2 linked regions of the Kluyveromyces lactis genome follow. The protein of the gene in region 2 interacts with the protein of the main gene of each other region in a pairwise test. Links are inferred from orthologs where the notes say so. Each region holds a gene or a part of one and is shown on either strand. Other genes may lie near its edges. The genes, in order: PRO3 and SEC27.

Region 1 (5,031 bases), on a different chromosome or scaffold from region 2:
AAAATTATAATTGAACAGACAAATAGAGCGCTTGACCTGGGAAAGGGCGAAAACACATTTTTTGCCAAATTTCGTAATTTTGGATAAAATTCGCGGTATTTTCTACAGTTCTTTCTGTGGATTTTGAGCGAAAATTTTTTTTCGATTATACAAAGATACAAAGGGGACACACGTATTGGACATGCACGGTATTACCCGGTGTTAACAGACGTTCTCGAGAGTCGCTACAAGGTTTTCAGTGCAGACATATGATTACCCTGACTTAGTACCTATTTTTCCTCAAGTCTTTGAAATTGTTTCTTGCCGAAACGATATTTCGGGGGACAGGGTGTGCTGAAATTGAAGGTGAGATCTGATTGGCCGAGAAAGGACAGTGTGGTGAACGGGTTTAAGGGGTGGACAGGGTAATGCAGTTGTTTTTTGTTCACGTGACATTCTCATGTGAGTGAGAATGTTATGACTACTATTATTATTATTATTATTATGACTACTGTTATAAAGCGTACAGAGATAGTTTGTGCTCACTTCTTTTGGCCCAATTCCTTGGAAACTCTTGCTGCTTCTTCGATACCACGGATAATGCCGGACTTGACGCCCTTGTCTTCCATGACACATAGACCAGCGATCGTAGTACCTCCTGGAGTACACACTTGGTGCTTCAACACACCAGGACTTTGTCCTGAAATCTCGACCATCTTGGCAGTACCTTCCAACACTTTCATAGCACACTCGCGGGACTCCTTCAATGGGATGCCCATCTTTAGTCCGGCTTCCATCATTGATTCTAGCATTAGTAGTACAAAAGCTGGACCCGAGCCGACTAGCGCAGTAGCTGCGTCCATATTTTTTTCTGGTAGTTCCAAACATTTACCGACTTGGCTAACCAATTCCGATACAATGGCTTTATCCTGAGGCTCGACGCTAGTAGAATGTGACACAATTGCAGTACCATAACCGTATTTAGCTGGAGTGTTGGTCATAACACGAGAAACCTTTTTGTAGTATTGAGACAATTGGTTCAATGTAACACCGGCAGCCAAAGAGATCAAAAGCTTGGACCCGTCCTCGTTAGGGATTTGCTGCAAGACTGGTTCCACGATATGAGGTTTCAATCCAAGAATGATTACTTTCGCTTCGGCAACAGCTCTTTCATTATCATTGGTAGCAATTTCGACCTCAATTCCGTTTGGCGAAGTTTCAAACCCGCTAACCAATTTCTCCACAAGCTCTGCGCTGGCTGGAACGTCATTGCAAGCGATGATCTTGCTTGGATAGTATTGAAGAGCTTCATCGCTGGCTTTTGGTGCATTGTAAATAGCACTCAACAATGCTTGGCCCATAACACCACATCCCACAATAGCTAAAGTGTAACGACTCATTTCTGTGCTTTGTTTATCCTGCTATCTGTCTGTATTGTACCGATCCAAGCTACAAGTGATACAAACTGAAAATCACTTCTTCCAACGACGCAATCCCCTTATATATATGTATATGTTCACTTATCGCATCTGATCATTTATCCAATTTGAGCCCGTTTGAAAAAGCAATCCATGTTGATCAATTTTTCAAACTTACATACATATTGGCATGCTATCATATTGTCCCCTCATGACCTTAAAGGATACACTTAGCGAAACAAAAGGCAGTCATTGAGGTTGTCATATCATTATAGTGAGAGGTCTGCGAAAGGCACATTGAGCACGGAATAGATAGGTATAATCTAGCTGGATTGTTGAATAGCTGTTTCTTTGCAATCACTACTGCTCTTTTTTGCCAAATTTTTCAAACTTTTTTTTTTTGGTTTTTCACTTAAAGTGACACACTGTTGCCAGTAGGAATTCGAAACCCGTGACTGAACATTAGCATTTCGCTAGCTCATCACAAGGAAAGGTTGACAGCAGTACATACGGTCTTATCATTGATAAGAGGTTTGCTATTTAGAGTACACACTTTGGACACATTTCAGTGTAGATTGATTTCGAATGGGGAAAGCGCCATGCAGGAAATACCCACACTAAGGCCTTCTGAGGAACAATTTTTGGACCCTATTGGGTTCTTGTCTTCGAATGAGGTGAAGAAGCTTGGGATGAAGTACGGGATGATTAAGCTTATTCCTCCGGAGTCCTTCAAGCCTGCATTTAGTATTGATGAGGAACAGTTTAGTTTCAGGTGCAGGTTACAGGTTTTGATGGAGTTAGATATTGAGAATAGATCGAGGCTTCTTTTCTGGAAACAATTGAACAATTTGAAAAGAAGTAAAGGTGACTCCAAGTTGCTATCGTCACCGCAGGTCATTCTTGGTCACGGGCAAATCCTACCTGTCTACTATTACGACGTATACAAAGCTGTTATCGGATATTTTGATCCAAAGAAAGGGAAAAGAACTGGCGACGACAGTTTCAGTTTTAAATTAAGTTCTACTTCGAGAAAAAGACAAAGAGATGGATCCTATGTCAGCGAAGCTCAATACAAACTAGTCGATCCTAAAATCGTCATGGAGCATAAAAGTTGTTGGCAAGAAGTTTCCCTGAAGTTCCCGCAGTTGGACGCAGCGACAACGAAAAAGATATTCAAGCTGCACATTCTTCCCTACTATCGCTTTTTATACAATGAGATGATGAAGACGCGATCCACAAAACACAGTAGTAGCCTGCGCAACAGCGTATCTGGGCTTTTATACAACTACGATTATCCGAAGTCGTTGCTTGAAATGTACGATTCCACGGAGGAATCGAACCAAAGTCGGGATCATAGCCATTCTGGGAATGAGCATGATATCTTTAGTGATGATCTACCGGAAAGCTTACGATATGATGAAGAAGTTGACGATTTCAACATTGAGGATGAAGATGAGGATGAAAAATGCCCAATATGTGTCAAACACGTTCCGACTAAAGTTACGTCTTCTTCAGTAGCAATAGTGACATGCAATTCATGCGATTTCAAGTTCCATAAGAAATGTCTTGGGAAAAGTACACCTAACTTAGGTTCCAATGGTCAAGAATGGATCTGTAACACGTGTATTATTGGGAATGGATATTATGGGTTTAAGGAACCTTCGTCTTTGTATACATTGAAATCTTTCAAAGAACATTGCGCTAACTTCGATGACCAACAATTTGCTGGAAATAAACCTAATGATATTGAAACTTTAGAGAAATTATTCTGGGAACATGTTCAAGAAATGGTACCAAACCCAATAACTGTCAAGTACGGAGCTGACATACATAGAAATAAACCTGGTCAAACTACCGGGTTCCCAACTATGGGTTACGTTCCGCCTTTTATTACAGATAAAGAATCTGATGAATTTAAACAGTTCTTGAAAGTGAGCTCGCACCCATGGAACTTAATCAACCTCCCTAGAGCCAGAGGATCTCTCCTTTCTATCATCAACAGAAAAATTTCTGGAATGACCATTCCTTGGATTTATGTTGGGTCTACGTTTTCAACATTCTGTTGGCACCTCGAGGATCAATACACTCTTAGTGCAAACTATCAGCACATAGGCTCACAGAAAATATGGTATTCGATACCAGAACGTAGTACATCTGCCTTTGATGAAATGATGAAGAATATATCTCCAGACCTTTTTGAAAGGCAACCCGATCTATTGCATCAATTGATCACGCTGGTCTCACCGTATAGTAAACGGTTTGTTGAAGCCGGTATTGATTGCTATAAAGCTATTCAAAACCCAGGAGAATATATTGTGACATATCCGAAATGCTATCATGCAGGTTTCAATTCTGGATTCAATTTCAACGAAGCGGTGAATTTCACATTGGATCTGTGGTTACCATATGGGCTACAATCAATTAATGATTATAAGGAAACCAAAAGAACCGCTGTCGTCAACCTGTTTGACCTAATGAGCAATGTATTGAACGCCTACTTGATAAAACCTGAAACATTTGATGATAGTTTTGTAGCCACATGTGTCCGTGAATTGAAGGAATGGTTCAATACCGATTTTAAAAACATGATGAAAGTGAAAAATATCGTCGGTGAAACAATCTTCTCCACTGGTTGTGAGGATGCGTACACTAACTCTAGTCTTGATCAAGAAGGTGGTAGTGATTCTATCAAGGATTCTAATCAAGATCCTGGTAGGAGCGTATCAAATAAGAAAAAATTTGATGAAGACGAAGATGACGAAGATGAAGATGACGACGATGACGACGATGACATCGATGTTTTTTGCTCAAAATGCAAAACCATCTGCCCAGTAGCCTTCATTGTACATAACAATTCGAAACGATTTCGAAGCAAAAGAAGAAACTTGGCTTCCGCTACACCTGACGAATGGAATCAGCTTTCGAATGATGGAAATATTTCAATCTTCTGCTTGGAGGAATATTTAAAGTATGTTGATGAAAAGGATGCAGAAAACGACGATGATAATGATGACGCCGGACAGTCAATTAATTCTGACGATCCATCCGAGGATGACTTCAAAAACGACGTAATGGTTTACATTAGGGAGCCAGATGAAGTGAGAAACCTAATATCTCGAGTAGAACGGGCATTGGACAGAAGGCTTAGATAGCTAGTCACCTAGCCGCTTTTTCAGACTGTTCATTGGTTTTAAACATAATTCTTGTATACAAATAATTTGTTATTAACCACTTAATTTCTAAATATGCATTATGCAAAGTTCTTTATGATACCAGAATTGATTCTATCAGATATACTGTCATTGTATTCGTAATATTCTCTGCGATCCTGTATTTTATTCTGTCAAACCTATTCTGACTTTTGACATTGGAATCCATATTCTGATTAACAATGATTAAGGCTTTGAAAAAAAGTTACAAGAAACCAACATAATATCCTATAAAATAAACCGCCATCTTAACTCATCACATTATGATTAAGGGCTGCACATTGGATAACAGTTATATTACGATCAAAAGGCAGTAATTAGGCATTATCAGATATGGGACTATTATCATCAGTGAACGTAACGTATTTCAGAATAGTATTTTTATTGGGATTAGCATACCTAAGTGTAACTGATGTTAATGCTAT
Region 2 (18,931 bases):
AAAGGAATTATGACACCTGCTTTGAATTAGTTTCAATGATGGACTTGGTAATGAGTATACTACCTATGTCATTGAAACAACGCTTAGACTTTCTCACTGCGAAGAAACTCAAATCAAGGGCAATTTTATTCTCCACATGCGTCCAAGACTTCCAACAAATTTTCAAAAAGCTTGATGATAGCGTGGATTATGTAAATAATCACTTCTCCAATTCTTCGAATAATGACAAGTCCAAGTTAATTGCAAATCAATTGAGAGCTTTAAGGTTTTATATCGATGATATTAAAAGGAATAACTCCAGCGTTATACTGAAGGCAAATTCCGAAAAAGAACGTACAGACGTCACATCCCCAAACAAGTTTTTGAAAACCAGTTCGAGTCACGATGAAGATTCTGATTCAAATGACGAAATGGAACAAATTAAGTCTTTTATCGACTCCTTGGAGGAAAAAAATGTTCATCCTGACGGTATCAAACTGTTACAAAAGGACTTCAAACGGTTCATGAAGATGACTCCTCAGAATGCCGATTACCAAGTTCTAAGAAACTATTTTGACATTGTGATGGACATTCCGTTTGGAAAAACTGTCAATATCTCAACTATAGATTTGGCAAAAAGTAGAGCAAAATTAAATGAGGATCACTATGGATTGCAAAGTGTTAAGCGCAGGCTAGTAGAATATCTCAGTGTCTTAAAGATATCCGAGATTTCTACCAATGATCCAAACCTTAATACCGACCTTCATCCTAAGAAAGACAGGGCTTCTATCAATAAGCCGCCTATCCTTTTGTTGGTCGGTCCTCCTGGTGTGGGTAAAACATCTATTGCTAAGAGCGTTGCTGATGTTTTAGGTCGAAAATTCCAAAGAATATCTCTCGGTGGTATACATAACGAAGCAGAAATTAGGGGTCATAGGAGAACATATGTGGGTTCGATGTGTGGTTTGATCATTGGTGCTTTAAGAAAAGCGGGTACAATGAATCCCTTAATTCTTTTAGATGAAGTAGATAAAGTATTGAGTGGAGGGGTTGGTGGATTTGGTAACAGAGTTAATGGGGATCCCGGCGCCGCACTATTGGAAGTATTAGACCCTGAACAGAACTCTACCTTCTCGGATCATTATGTAGGATTTCCTGTTGATCTTTCACAAGTTTTGTTTTTCTGTACTGCAAATGATCTCGAAGGCATCAGCGAACCTCTTTTGAACCGTATGGAGCTAATTGAGCTTCCTGGATATACTCCAGATGAAAAAATTATGATTGGCTCCAAATTTCTCTTGCCTAAACAGATAAAAGCGAATGGTCTTGATGCCATTAAAGAGCTACCTAAAATTTACTTGACAGATGAGGCATGGAACTGTGTTGTCTTAGAGTACACGAGGGAACCGGGTGTTCGTGGATTGGAACGAAGAATTGGTGCTATAGTTAGGGGTAAAGTTGTTGAATACGTGGAGAACAAAATGATACAGGGTGAAGTGGACAAAGAACATTTATACAAGTACCTTGGTCTTGCACACCATCCAATTTCAGAGGAGATTCTTGCTCCAACTGAGCATTCAGAGAAATTTGGTGTTGTCAATGGATTATCCTATAATTCGGACGGCAGTGGCAGTGTATTGCTATTTGAAGTGATAAAGATCCATACAGATGAGAGTGGAGCTACAAACGGCCCATATATAAAGACCACAGGTAATCTAGGAAACATCCTAGAGGAATCCATCAAGATTGCAACAAGTTTTGTGAAACATATACTTTTCCGTGGGTTGATTCCTGGCGTGAACGAGAAGGATATCAATGAATTTCTCACATCTGAATATCACCTCCACGTTCCAATGGGCGCTGTATCAAAGGATGGACCCAGCGCAGGCGCTGCAATATCCTTAGCAATCCTTTCTTGCGCTTTGAAGAGACCTGTTTCTCCTAAACTCTGTATGACGGGGGAGATAACGCTTCGAGGTAAGATCTTGCCTATCGGTGGAATCAAAGAGAAACTATTGGGGGCACAATTTTACCACATGAATCACGTCCTAGTACCCTCGGCTAACCTATCTGACGTTGTTCAAGCCGTCTCTACGGACAATCAAGAGCAATACGAAATATATATGGACCGTTCGAGACAACCAGAACTACAGAAACTCAAGGACAAGACACAACTACAATTACACTACTGTTCCGATTTCTTCGATGTAGTCAAGTATACCTGGCCTGAACTACTGAATAAAGAAGTGTCACACAGCAGACCATCTTTGTAATTGAGTGTGGCAAGTACGTACGCATATATATGTCGAATAAGAACAAGAGCTTGGCTATGCTTCCTGTTATTCAGGCAAACTCATATTTAAGACAATAAGGGAATGAATAACAACTAGAAACATTTTAGTTCTTTACTTCCCATAGTATTAAGTCCAGTTGCAGCCAAGCACCACTTTCTCAGTACAGTCTTCCACGATAATGTTTGTTCGCGTCCTTTTTTTTTTTTTTTCTTTCTTTCTTTTTCGGTTCGTGTCAGGAATGAAGCTCTAAAGAAACTTCGCATGGTCGAATCGAGAAATTCAGAACTGAAGAAATCATGAAATTCAGAGGATGAGAAACCGGTGGATGATGTTTTAAAATAGACTTTGATCTGTAAGGAACAGACATTTATCAAGGGAAGCAGAAGAAGAGGGATAACTGGCAAATAATTGGCTAGCTGGCAAATGGGCGAAGGGCTTATCAAATTTTAAACAAAGAATAACCTAACCTCACGTCTGTCGGTGAAAAAGCGTTAATAAAGGAAAATAGATCAGGATTTTAATTTCGGTCCGTGGGAAATACTGTGCTTATTTTGATTTGATCTGACTTCTGAATTAGTAAAGGAAAAGAAGCCCTTATTATTCATTTAGTTGGTTAGAAAGTGTTGAACGCTTGATAACTTATACTTTTTTCCAGCTAAGCTTTCTCTTTTGAAGATGAACATGGTAATAAGGCTGTGGGTGCTTTTGTCCCTTCTTGTATCAAATGTGTTTGCTAGACGTAGTTTGATTGCTACCTCGTTGGTATCATGTATGGATAACTCTGAGTTAACGGCTAACAGTTTTGATGTGGTCTTCAACCCGGATGACGGATCATTGCGTTATACTTTGGATATAACTACCGATATCAATGGGTACGTCATTGCTCATGCTGAGGTGTACGCATACGGATTCAATATTATTAACAGACAGATTGATCCCTGTGATTCAGATTGGAAACAGTTCTGTCCTTTATACCCTGGAGTGATTGAAATCGATTCAGTCGAATATATATCTGATGAGTATGTCGATATGATCCCAGGGATTGCATACCAGGTGCCCGATATCGATGCGTACCTTAAGCTTATTGTGGTGGAACGTGATACGAATGGGATCGTTGCCTGTATTCAAGCTTTCTTTTCTAATGGGAAGACAGTCTCGCAAACGGGTGTCAAATGGGCCACTGCTGTTATCGCTGGTATCGGGTTGTTGACTTCTGCATTGCTATCCGCCTTCGGTAACTCTAACGCTGCTTCACATGTGGCTGCCAATACTATGTCGCTTTTCTTGTATTTCCAATCGGTGACTGTGTTCGCCATGGAACATGTTAACACTGTGCCTCCTATCGCCGCTGCTTGGTCCGAAAACTTGATGTGGTCCATGGGATTGATCCGTGTCACTTTCATGCAAAAAATTTTCAGATGGTATGTTCAAGCCACTGGTGGCACTCCGACTCTATACTTAACCTCAAAGACAATTTCTGTTTTGGTTCAAAGATCCCTAGAATATCTGGAAAGTACCCGCATCTATAAGCGTGCGGCAGAAGTCTTGTATGGTAATTCCAACGTTCTAATCTTCAGAGGTATTAAACGTTTAGGTTACAGTGCCAACATCGAAATTACTTCTATCGTTGCTACTGGGTTAACATTCTTTATATTATGTGGGTATTTCCTATTTGGGTTGATCATTTGCGCCAAATATGTCGTCGAACTATGTATCAGAGCCGGATGGTTGAAAAACTCGAGGTTCATCGATTTCAGAAAGCATTGGAAGATCATATTGAAGGGTGCTCTTCTGCGTTACATTTACATTGGTTTCATTCAAATTACTATTTTATGTTTCTGGGAATTTATTCAAAGAGATTCGCCGGCTCTCATTGTATTGAGTTGTCTATTCATCATTATGGTTTATGGTATCCTCGGTTATGTGTCACTCAGAACAATTTCTTTTGCTAAACGATCTATTCAGTTACACAACAATCCAGCTGCTATTTTATATGGTGACCAGAGGGTCTTGAACAAATACGGTTTCTTCTATACTATGTTTTCCGCCAATTATTATTATTGGTCCTGCGTTATTATGGCCCAAAACTTTGTCAAAGGTGCGTTCATCGCATTCGCGCAAGCTTCAGGTAAAACTCAAGCTCTTGCTTTGTTTATTATTGATTTGGCCTACTTCGCAGCCATCATCAAATTCAAACCATATTTGGATCGTGCCACAAATATCCTCAACATTTTGATTTCAACAGTCACCTTAGTGAACTCATTCCTATTCTTGTTTTTCTCTGATTTGTTTGGGCAACCTCAGCCAGTGGCCTCGATTATGGCTTGGGTCTTCTTCATTATGAACGCTGCATTCTCTTTGATTTTATTGATTCTAATTCTTGTGTATGTGGGCTTTGTCATCTTTTCGAAGAACCCTGATGTCAGATTCAAACCAGCGAACGATGACAGAACATCATTCCAAAGACAATCCGCGAATGTGGGTGCTATGGATAAATCTGTCGCTGATGAACTAATGGCTCTTGGCACTGTCGCTAAAGAACATGATGGGGACTGGCAGGAGATGCTAGTTACCCAGGGTCAACAAAACACCGAATCAAGCACAGATAATCTTAACGATGAAAAACTCGAGGCAGCAGAGGAAGCTAATATTAGTAGGAAACATTCATTCAAGGATAAGATATTGCGTAAAATGTCATTGAGGAGAAATAAATCCACTTCGTCCAGGTTAACCGCTGGTAATAGACAAGCTACCGTCACTGCTTCGCATCTTTCCGGTGACTCTAGCTCAGAATCAGAAACGCCAATCGTTAAAACTATTAAAGGGACTCACACAAGAGCAGTGTCTGAGGCAGAAAACGGACTAATAGATAACAGTAGTGATTTTGATTTTGTTACTGACACACAACTCGATACTCCAACAGCTTCACCCCATCGTAAAACTTCGATAAGTGATAGCATAAATTTCAATAGTACTACGGATATGAATGCTACATCCTCAACAGATATTTTCCAACATAACAATAACTCCTACTACAAGTTGTAAATATGAGTGCCGTTTCGTTTCTAAACTCGTATATTATATAAACTTTTCATCGTATTAAACAAATGTATTATCGATTTTTGACTACGGGTGCACATATTCAAACAATTCATCTGAGACGTGCATATTATCCCAATAGTTAAGGAAAACTGAGCATTTTTCTAGTACTCGTGTTAGGTTTGCTGCCATTATTTTATCCGTAATACTTAAAGTTTTCCATAACTTAGTTGTGGCCACTTTATTCAATGTCCTCCAAGGTAAAGATAGTTTGTCCTGTTCTATGGTTGAAAGCTGAAGCAAAGGCGAAATAATATCTTTCAATTTTTCTGTTGCCAACGTGAGTTTGAAATTATCTTCTTTATCATAATGATATCTTTCTGAAACTTCAATCTCTTGAAACCAGGACAACTCTTTTGAGGATTTCCTTCTTGAATACCAATCGATGAGAAGTTCTTTTGTGGAAAGTTTGCTCTTGAAGTCAGGTATCTGGGACATACTTGTATTCATGTAATATGAGCTCAAACTAAAGTTAGTCGGAGCCATAGACAAATTCGGGGTCTGTAAGTATGGAACATATGTCTTTGTTTTTCGCTTTGACAGGAGAGTGATGAATGGGATTAATTTCTTAGCCATAACTTCTGACCAGGAATCAGAATAAGTCGATGCATACAATGGCTGAATTGGTATCGAATTAGATAAAGAACAAAATTCCATTGCATTTGATGTACTTATTCCATCACTCTGTAAAGATTGAAATATCGTTTGTTTGGCATCCATATCCACATCACAATAAAACAAACCGCCAACCCAAGTGTAGGGTATAAAAACATCAAATGGACGGATCGCATACTTCTTTCTTCTGGCCATTTTTAAACAATGAAAGTTCTTCAAACTATTATTGGGATTTTCCTGTTCTTTAGATTCAAAAAAACACCACGGTTGGTTCCAATCCTTTACATCATTAGTAAGTTGCTTCTCAGTTTCAAAGACAACTTTACCCTCGTTACAATAAGTTATCTTCAAAGCTTTCCCTGATCTTTTATATAGCTGGTGAAAATAAAATACCCTGTGTACTTTAAATCCAGTGAAGAGCTTTGTATCTCCAGGCAAAGAATCTACTGGAATCGTTGCCCCACTCCATATCTCAAACGTTTTCTTCATATTCATGTTGGCAGAGTTGAAACCTACCGCACAAGCTTTATCAATTGTATGAACAGGGTATAGTGCTTTCCCGTAAGCAAAATCAAAAAATAGAGCAGAACAAAAGAGAATCAACAACCATAGTTGACCTTTACTCATTCTATAACAAACCACACAACTGCTGTAGCTTCTAATAAAATGAGACTATCAAGACAAATAGCAGTTGTTCTGCTGAATAGCCTAAATCGCGCCCTTTGTCGAACAAATATAATAATTAGTAATATTCTTCAACTTTAGCTTTGAATACAAAATGGAGAAGATTGATGTAATATTAGGGGAAATAAGTCATATAGCTCGTAGTACTCTCGAGCCGAAACGGTTCAAGTTGATGCTTTATTTATGTGACACTGACACTGACATCAATATCATAATAACATTACCCGGTCCTATGCCATGTCCATCAACGGCTTTGAAAAAAAAATGTTTGAAAGGGGAATTTGAATAATAAAGATCCATTCATGATTTTAACACGTTAGTTGAAGAAAACATCGAAGGTAGAGACCCAACAGAGCGGAAGGAAATTAGCAATGAAACTTGACATCAATGTATGTGACACATTGTGTACTAGAGTAATTTGTGAGGTGCTTTTATCACGGAGAATCGCTGTTGAACGTTAGCAATTGCATATTAAGTATCTTAGGCGTTTTTCTGGTATCAATACATTTATGTTTTATGTTTTGATTCAACAGATTATATTTCTTCAGCCCTTATCAGCAACTAAAAGAAAGAGCTTTTACTAACATTTTTTTCATCTATGGTGACTTTATTTGTCTTTAGAAAAAGCTCAGTGCCAGAACTGACAGGGTTAAGGGCATTGACTTTCATCCTGAGGAACCTTGGGTTTTAATTACCTTGTACTCAGGAAGAATTGAGATATGGAACTACGAGACGCAAACGCAAGTGAGATCTATTCCATTATGTGATGCTCCAGTGAGAGCTGGTAGATTCATTGCAAGAAAGAACTGGGTTGTTGTTGGTTCCGATGACTTTAAATTAAGAGTTTATAATTATAACACCGGTGAAAAAGTGACCGAATTCGAAGCACATCCTGATTATATCCGTTCCATTGCTGTGCATCCAACGAAGCCATTCGTTCTGACAGGTTCTGATGATCTGACTATTAAGTTATGGAACTGGGAAAAGAATTGGGGCTGCCAACAAACCTTTACCGGTCATGAGCACTTCGTCATGTCTGTTGCATTCAACCCAAAGGACCCCAACCAATTTGCCTCCGGTTGTTTGGATCACACTATCAAAGTTTGGTCGATTGGTCAAGATGTTCCAAATTTCACCTTGAAAGCACATGAAACTAAAGGTGTGAATTATGTCGACTATTACCCGTTACAAGATAAGCCTTATTTGATTACCACTTCCGATGACGGTACCATCAAGGTGTGGGATTACCAGACAAAATCTAATGTTGCTACTTTAGAGGGACATATGGCTAACGTGTCATATGCTGTATTCCATCCGACTTTACCTATCATTATCTCAGGTTCCGAGGATGGAACTCTCAAGATTTGGAATGCAAATACATACAAACTAGAGAAAACGTTGAACATCGGGCTTGAAAGAAGTTGGTGTATCGCTACTCATCCATCTGGTAAACGTAATTACATTGCATCGGGTTTCGACAATGGTTTCACAGTTCTATCCCTAGGTGATGATCAACCAAAATTATCTTTGGATCCAGTTGGTAAGTTAGTTTATTGCGGTGGTAAAGCATCAGCCACTGACGTCTTCTCTGCCATCATTAGAGGTAATGAAGAGGTAGAAGAAGGCGGTGCCCTTCCTTTGCAAAGCAAAGAATTAGGGTCGATCGACGTTTTCCCACAAAGTTTGAAGCATTCCCCAAATGGTAGATTTGTCACTGTTGTTGGTGATGACGAATTCATTGTGTACACTGCTTTAGCATGGAGAAACAAAGCTTTCGGCAAATGCCATGACTTTGCATGGGGCCCAGATTCTAATAGTTATGCGTTAATCACGGAAACGGGTGCAGTGACCTACTACAAGAACTTCAAACAAGTATCTTCTTGGTCAATTCCGCTTGATTACGGTGTCGAAAAAATCTTCCCTGGTTCAGTATTAGGTGTCAAAGCTGACGGCTTCGTATATTTCTTTGATTGGGAATCAGGTAATCTAGTGAAAAGAATTGATGTCGATGCTAAGGATATAATCTGGTCAGATAATGGAGAGCTTGTTATGATCATCAACAAAGACCATGAAACAGACTCTGCTGAAGAAGCTAATGCTTACGCTCTGTTGTTCAATAAGGATGTTTACGATGAGGCGGTTTCAGCTGGAAGTATTGATGAAGATGGTGTAGAAGATGCGTTTGACGTATTATACGAAGTTTCAGAGGGTATCACGTCAGGTAAGTGGGTTGGTGATGTCTTCATTTTCACCACCCCAACAAATAGATTAAACTACTTTGTTGGTGGTAAAATCTATAATCTTGCACATTTCGATAAGCAGATGTACTTATTAGGTTATTTGCCAAGAGATGATAAAGTTTATTTGGCTGACAAAGATATCCATGTTTATGGTTATGAACTATCTATTGATGTTTTGGAATTCGAGACATTGGTACTCAGAGGCGAACTAGCTGAGGCCAAATCATCCGTACTACCTAATGTTCAAGGAAAAGAAAACTTGCTAAAGATCTCTAGATTTTTGGAGGGACAAGATTTGTTTGAAGATGCCTTAGAAATTTCACCAGACGCTGAGCAGAAGTTTGATCTAGCTATTAAATTAGGCCGACTATCACTGGCGCAAGAAATATTGTCCGAGCAGGAAAGTGAGAACAGATGGATTCAATTGGGTGATGCTGCCTTAAAGAAATTCAATTTCACTTTAGCTTTGCAATGTTATGAAAAGGCAAATGATCTAGAATCCCTTTTCTTGTTATATTCTTCATTCAACAATAGGGAAGAGTTGGTTTCATTGGCAAAGAATGCTGAGACTTCTGGTAAGTTCAACCTAGCTTTCAATGCTTATTGGGTAGCAGGTGACATAGCTGGAGCAAAGGACTTGCTATTAAAATCTAATAGGGTGCCAGAAGCTGCCCTATTAAGTTTAACATACGGGGAATCGGCAGAATCCATCAACACTGTAGTAGACGTATGGAAGCAAACTTTGATCAATGACGGTAAAGCCGCAATTGCTGAAAGAGTTGGAGTTGTCGGTAAGACAGAAGGTTTTCCATCAACGAATACACATACCTTACTTGATTTAGATACACCAAGCGAGAGCATAAAAGAAGCGGCTCCTGTAAACCATAAGTCAGAGGAGGATGTCGCAGTTGAAGAAAAAGCGTTGGATACCGAGGAAAATAAGGATGAAGATGAAGATGAAGAAGCATTCAAGGATTCATCTGAAGAGCCTCAAGGTTCAAAAGACGATGATAAACCCGCTGCAAAGGCGGAATAACTGTACGTTCCCCAACTCCTAAAAGAAAAAATGAACTACGATAAATTCATAATCCGTAAATAATGTATTAATATGCTAGTATATTAACATGAACTAAACGATTACAATCCGTGAGTCTTGAAGATTCTATCAAACTGTTTAAAATATTTACAAGTACAATTATTCCTCTAAAAACACCTTCAATTTATCTATATCAGTTTTCTTCCCGCGAGCCACGAAATACAGTTCTTTTGATTCATTTCTCGATGCATTGGGTTTGAATCTGTCGACTTTTTTGAATACCTTTTTAAGTCTCTTTTCAAGAAGGGTATCTTCGCTTCCAGCATATAATTTACAAGTGAATGAACCTCCCGGTTTTAATAGGTCGATTGCTACAATTAATGCAGCATCACATAAGTCCATCGACATATAATGATCTTTACTTTGTATGCCTGTCGTGTTTGCCATCATATCGCTAAGCACAACATCGACCGGGTATCGTTCGATGTTCTGACTGATATCTGTCTGTGAGAATAGCTCCTTATACTCCTCTGTTTCCTTCAAATGGTTTAACTCTTCCTCTAGCATGTGCTGGAGATACCCATGATCCTTATGTAATTGATCATGCTTGTTTAGCTGGATATGACGAGCAAAGCAAAGTCTGATCAATTCATGAGTCTTTTTCGATAGGATGTTAGCCTGTAACGAATACACTCCCTTTGGCGGAGTACAACGTAACAAATCAACCCCCATGATCATTCCACCTGAACCGATCCTTTTCCTCGCTACTTGTGACCAGGCACCCGGCGCAAACCCAAGATCTAAAACTTTCTGATTTTGTTTGAAGAACCGGTATTTATCATCAATGTCCATTAATTTGAATGCTGCTCTGGACCTAAACTGCTGTTCCTTTGCAGCCTTGGTGAAATGATCATTCTTTTGCCTCGCTAACCAACGGTTCTGCGCATTAGAATTGTATCTTACTAGCCGTAGCACAAACGGAGTGCACCTATACTGAGGTGTGATCAAAGGCTGTAACACAGAATTCATCCCTACAATGATTCAGTATTCGCATGCAGCACCGTGCTACCTTTAACTGTCCAGGTATTGCATATTTGACATTTTACAGCCTTAACTTTTGATTGTCAGTACATATTCCACAGGAGAAACCTTAAAATATAACACCGATGAGATACAAATAAAGGTGAATAAGGAAGTACGTGCACTTTGCGAGTTCTCTAACAGGACGGACTACGAACTATGCAGCTTAGAGGACAACTTCAAGTCTCATCTGGACCTTATGATGCTACTTGGCAAGCGAATAGCCATTAACCCACACACCGCATAATGGTTAAGGATAGTGACACAATTTAAGATTTGAAATTCTTCCTAATTAGGATATTGTTGGCACTGAAATAATAAACACCCAGTCACCGCACCAATTTTCAACAGTCCCAGCATTTTTGTACCCACTCCTGGCCAAAGCCTACAGGAAAACTGAAAAATTTCAGATTGAACCACATTGGAATAACAACATATGATGAAAACAGCTAATCAATCGGGACGTTGTTCTCTTATTCTCTCTTGATATATATATTTTTATATTGTTCGTATTCTGTTTGTTTTAGAATTTAAAAGAGCACAGTCGCAAGCCTATTAAACGGACCACCAAATACTTTTGGAAGACTCTCACCACTCATAAAACATCAAAGATGTCTAAGATTACTTCCTCTCACGTTAGAGACAACGTCAAGGAGTTGTTGAAATACTCCAATGAAACCAAGAAGAGAAATTTCTTGGAAACCGTTGAATTGCAAGTCGGTTTGAAGAACTACGATCCTCAAAGAGACAAGCGTTTCTCTGGTACTTTGAAGTTGCCAGTCTGCCCAAGACCAAACTTGTCCATCTGTATCTTTGGTGATGCTTTCGATGTTGACAGAGCTAAGTCCTGTGGTGTCGACGCTATGTCCGTTGAAGATTTGAAGAAGTTGAACAAGAACAAGAAGTTGATTAAGAAGTTGGCTAAGAAGTACTCTGCTTTCGTCGCTTCGGAAGTTTTGATCAAGCAAGTTCCAAGATTATTGGGTCCTCAATTGTCCAAGGCTGGTAAGTTCCCAACCCCAGTTTCCCACAACGATGATTTGTACCAAAAGGTCAACGACGTCAAGTCCACCATCAAGTTCCAATTGAAGAAGGTCTTGTGTTTGGCTGTCGCCGTCGGTAACGTCGAAATGGACGAAGACACTTTGGTCAACCAAATCTTGATGTCTGTTAACTTCTTGGTCTCCTTGTTGAAGAAGAACTGGCAAAACGTCGGTTCCTTGGTCATCAAGTCTACCATGGGTCCAGCTTACAGATTGTACTAAGCCAGCAACAACTACTGCCTTTTTAGCTTCCTATATCATTCTCTATTATTAAAAATGCATATATAAAGTTTTCAAATAACAGGATATTACTGGTTTACTCGTCTTCACTACAACCCAAACTTCCCGCAGAAGAAATCCGCTCGAGCCAAAACCTCGGACCGTTGTGGTCCATTTCCCATTATTATATCGCACAAACTATTGATGCGGTGCTTTCTTTTTCATCTAAGCATTTTTCCTCTTTACAGTGAACTTTTTGCTATTTATCCGGTGATTGAAAACACTGCAATTTCGGACCCAAATTTTGCTATATTTACTATTTATTATACATATATATGACTGTGCTACTGTATGGATACAAATTCAGTAAAAGAGAAAGACCAAGGCCCCACAAGCGAATAATAGTTAGAGCATCCTTTCAATACATTGCTGCTGCTTAAATCTGGGTCTCTACAAACAGAAAATAGCGGTTTGTTTTTAGGAGTATCTCCGCATTGAGGGACGAAGAAGTATCAGTTAAACTGAGTTTTTGCTTCAGTTTTGGTATTTGGTTTTGGTGAGTTTGAAACTAGCTTCTATTTATCCTCTAGGGGTCCTACCAGTGTTTTTATCGTTACTATTTGGATTTGATTTGCGAGATCAGTAAACAGCATCTTTTAGTAGCGTGTGCTGACCACATTTTTTGAAAAGAAATGGTTTTAAGTGGCTCTACATCGCCTAGAAACGCGTTCATTGGGGACAAGCGTGATTGGTTCAAGGTGAACGGTGTTTTGGATAGGGAAGAAGAATGTGATCCAAGTGATTTCGACGTTGAGGATGAAAGTTTTGGGTTACCTTTGAAAAGTCGACATCTAGACGGAAACTTCGATGATGTGTTACATACCGCCGATTCTAAAAAAGTGCGGTTCGCTGAAGGCAAAAACAGGATGACCGTGGAACAGCTATTGGAAAACACTAGTAACTTGAATATGTTCTTTGAAAATAATATAGAAAAAATTACGGACTTCAAATCCGGTTTGGATGTACAGGAATGGTATAGAAGTACAACGCCAGATACTCCGACAGGCATAAGTGCGAAAGCTACCGCGTCAGCGGGATCTGCATCTAATTTCCAGCTCAGTGAAGCTGGGGATAGAGACAATTCTACTGCGGGTGGCTTGGAGTCCGATCAAGAGAGTAATGTTTTCGATCGTCGGCTTTCAAATCTGTTGGCAACGACCTCGGTTTCCGATTATAAGTTGAACAACGAAGATAACAATAACTCTCACAACGAGCTGAATGGATTACCCAAATCTTTCCCCCTGGAAAAAATAGATGACCAAAGGGATAGTACACTTCTTATACATTCGTTACTGAAAACAAATTTAAACAATAATGAGGTGTTTGGTTTAGAAATGACATCCAGAGAAGCCTTACAAATACTCGATGATTTCCTGCAACTCGCTCTCCTATTGTCTTCTGATATGCGTAAGAATGCTGAGAATGGTATGACAAATCATGAAGGCGAAGTTAATGATAATAATGATGATAATGCTGATGATGATGATTCTGATAATAATAATAATAATAATAATAATAATAATAATAATAATAAAAATAAAAATAATAGTAACAATAATAATGCCAGTAGCGATGGCGATAATATTAACAATGATGATAATGACAATACTAATGATGAGAATAATAATCAAAATAATAATGATAACAATAGAAATAGTGATATCGGTGGCGACACTTCTAATGACAATGATAATTTGCATAATGAGCCCTCTGCGACCAAGTCAAAAACCGAAGATGACATAGAAATGGAGATAGATCATTGGTCTCATGAGAACCTCGAAGAAACTTCCAATATTAGAGCAATCTTTCAGATGAAATCAGCTCCTACTCTCTCCATATCCCAATATCTCGATAGAATCGAATCCAAATGTTCATTCCCGCCAATTATCTATTTGACAGCATCCTTCTTGTTAGTTACCTATTGCGACATAAAGTTCGACACTGGAAGTGGAAAATTTCATCTAGAAAACCCGATCACGGAATCCATGACGCATCGTTTGCTCATTGCATTCATCCGTTTGGCTGCCAAGTTACTTGAAGATCATGTACACTCCCATTCGTACTTTAGTAAGGTGTGTGGTATCTCTAAGAAACTTCTTTCTAAATTGGAACTGAATTTAGTTTTAATTCTACAAGACACCCAAGACGGTCTTCTTATCACTGAGCTTTCAATAAAAACTGTACTCGCACTACATGAGCATATAAACCTGAGCTGATGGTCGCCATTGTAATTTCCGGCGCACTCTTGCATCAACTGTATTTGCATAAAAGGAAGCAGTTACTTTTAGCACAAATTGATATTTCTAATGAAAAAACAACAACAAGCAAATCTAAAAAGTTGCAATTTCCATACACCTCCGTAATAACTGATTCCAAAGCTCTTTCATAAACGCACGTTCACATCCTGCATTGCTCTTTTATACCAAGTTATATTCACATAGTTGTAATGTGTAATCTTATATCAATCGTATCAAGTGATTTCAATTAATAGGAAGATCAAGAAACATTTGACCGTTTTACGAAAATGAACAGATTGGTCTTTCAAAAGAACAAAGGCAGGCATATTTTAAAAACAAAGTTTATGATCTTCATTTAGTTACTGTTAGTTAGTAATTCGACTTAAAAATTACGGCACTTTAAGCTACTAATTCTTTATTGACTCTTCATTTGTTGTACGGAAAATACAGTAAAAGATGGCAGGCTGGGATTTATTTGGATGGTTCAGGGACATTCTATCATCCCTAGGATTATGGAACAAGCATGGTAAGTTATTGTTCTTAGGTTTAGACAATGCTGGTAAGACTACCTTGTTACATATGTTGAAGAACGATAGATTAGCTACTTTGCAACCAACTTGGCACCCAACTTCTGAAGAATTGGCGATCGGTAATATCAAATTCACCACTTTTGATTTAGGTGGACATTTGCAAGCACGTAGATTGTGGAAGGATTATTTCCCAGAAGTTAATGGTATTGTGTTCCTAGTGGATGCTGCTGACCCAGAGAGATTTAACGAAGCACGTATTGAATTGGATGCTTTGTTCCAAATCAAGGAATTGGACAACGTTCCATTTGCTGTCTTGGGTAACAAGATTGACTCTCCAAGTGCCGTTTCTGAAACTGAATTGAGAGCTGCATTGGGTTTGATGAACACAACTGGATATACCAAAATTGAAGGTCAAAGACCTATCGAGTTGTTCATGTGTTCCGTTGTCATGAAGTCTGGTTACTCTGAAGCCTTCAAGTGGCTATCTGAATATATTTAAGTAGTTAAGCAAGCGCTACTAACGATATATAATAACTGCAAATATCACCTAATAAGCATGGAGAAGAATAACTATAATCATATATGCATAAAATACTTAGCTATGTTTCAGAATCTCATGGTCTCTTAGAATTGCATTAACATAGAAAATCTCCAGCTCAGAATCAACTCCAAATGCGACTCTTAACTAATACAGTAGTTCATTTTGGTTCTTAACAATTACTTTATACTCTATCATTCAAATTATGCAATGTAAATAGGTTAAAATACATAGTTTATTTCCTTTTCTTGGAAGACATAACATCACTTGTGTCATTGTCGTTGAATTGTCTTTTTTTACCGTTTTTGGAGAAGAAGTCCTTCTTACGTTGCTTCTCCTTTTCTTTCTTCGATTCCTCCAACTTAGCAAGCTTCTTGAGTCTTTCCTTCCTTTCTTCAGCTTTCTTGGATCTCTTCTTTTCATCCTTCGCATTCGAAATGGTGAGAACCTTTTGCATGAAGGAACGTGCCTTTTTCTCTTCGCCGCCTAGAACGACAGCTCTCTTAGCCATGTATGTTTTCTTCTTTTGCGGTTTCATTTGATAGATCTGGGATTTGAAAGGTAAGTCTTTGGCAACAGATTTTGGTACCTTTAAACCGTTGAAGTTCCTTTCAACTCTTTCAACCTTCTTATATGTACTGTCATTGTTGGTCGGTAAATCGATTCCAAGAGATGCTCTAATTTGACCAGTTAGTCTCAAACCCTTCCATTCAGTTTTATCTTTTAGCAACAATGAAGTAACTGGGTTGTAGAATTTCTTAACTTGGATTGGATACCATGACCTAAGAATTATAATGTCACTCAATAGTATCTTATCCTCAAAAGTTGCCCTGAAATGGCCTTCTGGTTTTGATAGAGCACGCTTGATTTCACCACGAATACCGGAAACAGTCTTGATTTGGGCACCTTCGAACCGTGCAACTTCCATAGCGCTAGAGAACATATCCTTTATGAAGGCAGTGTTCTTGAAGATTTTGTAAGGATAACCAACAAGCTTTAATTTCTTCACAATTTCTACGCTTGCATCGATCTCCTCTACAATACCAGTCGCAGCTATTCTGAAACTTCCAGTTGTATCACTGTTAGCAACTATTTGAACACCACAGAAAGTGGTATTTGGCGAGCACAAGGGACCATAGAAAGAAGCTGTACAATAAGCATGTTCTGGAGTATACTTCAACATTCTAGTCCTGGTTCTAGAGTCACTAGTGGTGTATATTGGTAGAGTTTGGAAACGTCTCCAACCAAGAGATAAAACTAAAGGATCATTTGTCTTGAGAATCTTTTTGTGCCAACGATGTCTTCTGACTCTTGCATTAATAATTCCGAACTTCAATTCTGTGGGAAGAAGACCTCCCATAATTACTGGATACTTTGGGTTGAAATTTTCGATGAATTCCATAGGAACCTTATCGAAGACAATACGAACATAAGACCCAGCTTTCATACCTTCGATTTGTTGCCTTTGTTCAGGAGTCATAGATTCCAGTTCGGCTTTATTGATTTCTAATTGTTTAGCAATCTTAGCCTTCTGTAATTCGTACCAGGTATCGTATTCATTTTCAGGGTCTTCTCCAAAGTTGTCTCCTTCTTCCATTTCGAATTGTAACCTTAATTTCTCTTTTTTTGCGGCATTCAATTCACGCTCTTCATCCTGGGTCAAATCCTTCTTTTCTTCTTCTTCGAAATCAGCGAACGATTCGTTGCTATCAGATTCTTCATCTCCTGCAGCAGAATTCTCCTCCTTCTCATCTGTGTTTTCAGGCTCAGCTTCTAAGTCCTCAAAATCACCGTATACTTCATCTTCATCATCGTCTTCATCCTTTACATCATCAGAAGACTTGGTGTTTAAGGATGGCTTTCCAACAAATCTGTCTTTGATTGAATCGGCAGTTGACCATCTTTCAACAAGGTCATTGAATGTATCAAAATAAGGAATAAATCTTTCAAGATCATCGTGGTAAGTTACTGCCTTATTCGGTGTAGTATTTGTCTTTTGGGTGAAGAATTCAGTATCTTCATCGTCTTCTAGATCTTCTTCAACTTCAGTTTCGTCGGCCTCGCCGTTCCATCTTTTGATTGCATCAGCTGGAGCAATGTTGTCCATGTAGATAAGTTTGCTGATATCCCACTTTCTTCTTTTATTCTTTGTACCATTCAATTTACCAGCTGTGGTTCTTTCCCAACCTTCAGAATCAGATGCATCCAATTCTGAATCTGTCTCAAAGGCCATGTTTTCAGGTTTTTCGTCATCAAAATCAATTTCAACTAATTTAGTGCGATGTGCTTCATCTTCGTCATCATCTTCATTATAGTTTTCGTTGTCACTTGATAAATTATCGAGATCTGCGTTAGATTCCTGAAGGGATTTGCCGTATACTCTTGCCTTTCTTAAGGAAGATCTACCAACGTTTCCTCTATCAACATCATCCTCGTCTTCGGTGTCTTCTTCAACTTCTTCATCCTGATCTTCAATAGCATGTAACTCAGTACTATTTGAGAAAAGCTGCAATCCAACATTCTCGAATTTTTCATCAATGGAACGAGATGTAGCCTGTAGGTTGGACACGATCTTGTCACTTTCATCTTTTTCCTCTGCAGTCATTGAGTTTGGACCTGTCTTACCGCCAACATCAATGAACACGGCATCCTTATCCATAAGTAAACCACCAACGTCAGACATTGGAGCATAGATCAGCTTTTGTTTATCATCCAATCTTTTACGTCTTCTTACAGTCGTTGCTGATGTGGAACCTTCTTCCTTAGCACGTTCACGTTCAAATTCATCTAATTTCTGTTGGTAATAAGGTGTCGGACAAGGATCAGGCAATTTCTCAACGTGATCGATCTGGTAGTCACCTACACCGGCGATATGGACCCTGTAGCCTGGAGTCGAAGGTAACGGAGTACCGTGTAAATAACCATAGATGGCGACTTTACGATCTATATGCATACCCTTCGATTGTAAGAGTTCTGGATGAGTTAAATCGGATATTCTATCGGCCAATAAATAAGGATGTTCGTTTCTCCATTGCAAAGGTCTGAACTTCATAACACTTATAAACCTTGACAAGTTCAAAATCTCTCTATCTGGATAACGACCGTTAATAACACCAGAAAGGTAGAAAAGCTTGGCACCCTGATACACTTCGGTCCAGAACCTATGTTTCAAAGATTTCTTAGAGGCACGCAATGTTGACTGGGATTTGAAAAGATCCAAATGTGTAGCGACACCTAGTACACGAGGCATACCATGATGTTGAGCCAAATTCAAGAA

What was found.
Region 1: the proteins of SEC27 (region 2) and PRO3 interact in a protein complementation assay, tested with the Saccharomyces cerevisiae proteins (2 studies listed by BioGRID). The link is inferred for Kluyveromyces lactis from reciprocal best matches to the Saccharomyces cerevisiae genes SEC27 and PRO3.

The regions. Positions count from the first base shown.
Region 1 is NC_006040.1:915,129-920,159, forward strand, and holds PRO3 (pyrroline-5-carboxylate reductase), read right to left. Parts: upstream 1,380-5,031; coding exon 522-1,379; downstream 1-521. Other genes in the region: JHD2 (histone demethylase), read left to right, coding at 1,997-4,549; ILM1 (Ilm1p), read left to right, coding at 4,940-5,031.
Region 2 is NC_006038.1:163,604-182,534, forward strand, and holds SEC27 (coatomer subunit beta'), read left to right. Parts: upstream 1-7,042; coding exon 7,043-7,060; intron 7,061-7,292; coding exon 7,293-9,947; downstream 9,948-18,931. Other genes in the region: KLLA0_B01892g (uncharacterized protein), read left to right, coding at 1-2,252; KLLA0_B01914g (transient receptor potential ion channel family protein), read left to right, coding at 2,949-5,318; KLLA0_B01936g (uncharacterized protein), read right to left, coding at 5,400-6,614; MRM2 (21S rRNA (uridine2791-2'-O) methyltransferase), read right to left, coding at 10,107-10,976; RPL1B (60S ribosomal protein uL1), read left to right, coding at 11,639-12,292; KLLA0_B02024g (uncharacterized protein), read left to right, coding at 12,982-14,565; Arf family GTPase SAR1, read left to right, coding at 15,043-15,615; GTPase BMS1, read right to left, coding at 15,890-18,931. UniProt on the Saccharomyces cerevisiae protein: The coatomer is a cytosolic protein complex that binds to dilysine motifs and reversibly associates with Golgi non-clathrin-coated vesicles, which further mediate biosynthetic protein transport from the ER, via the Golgi up to the trans Golgi network.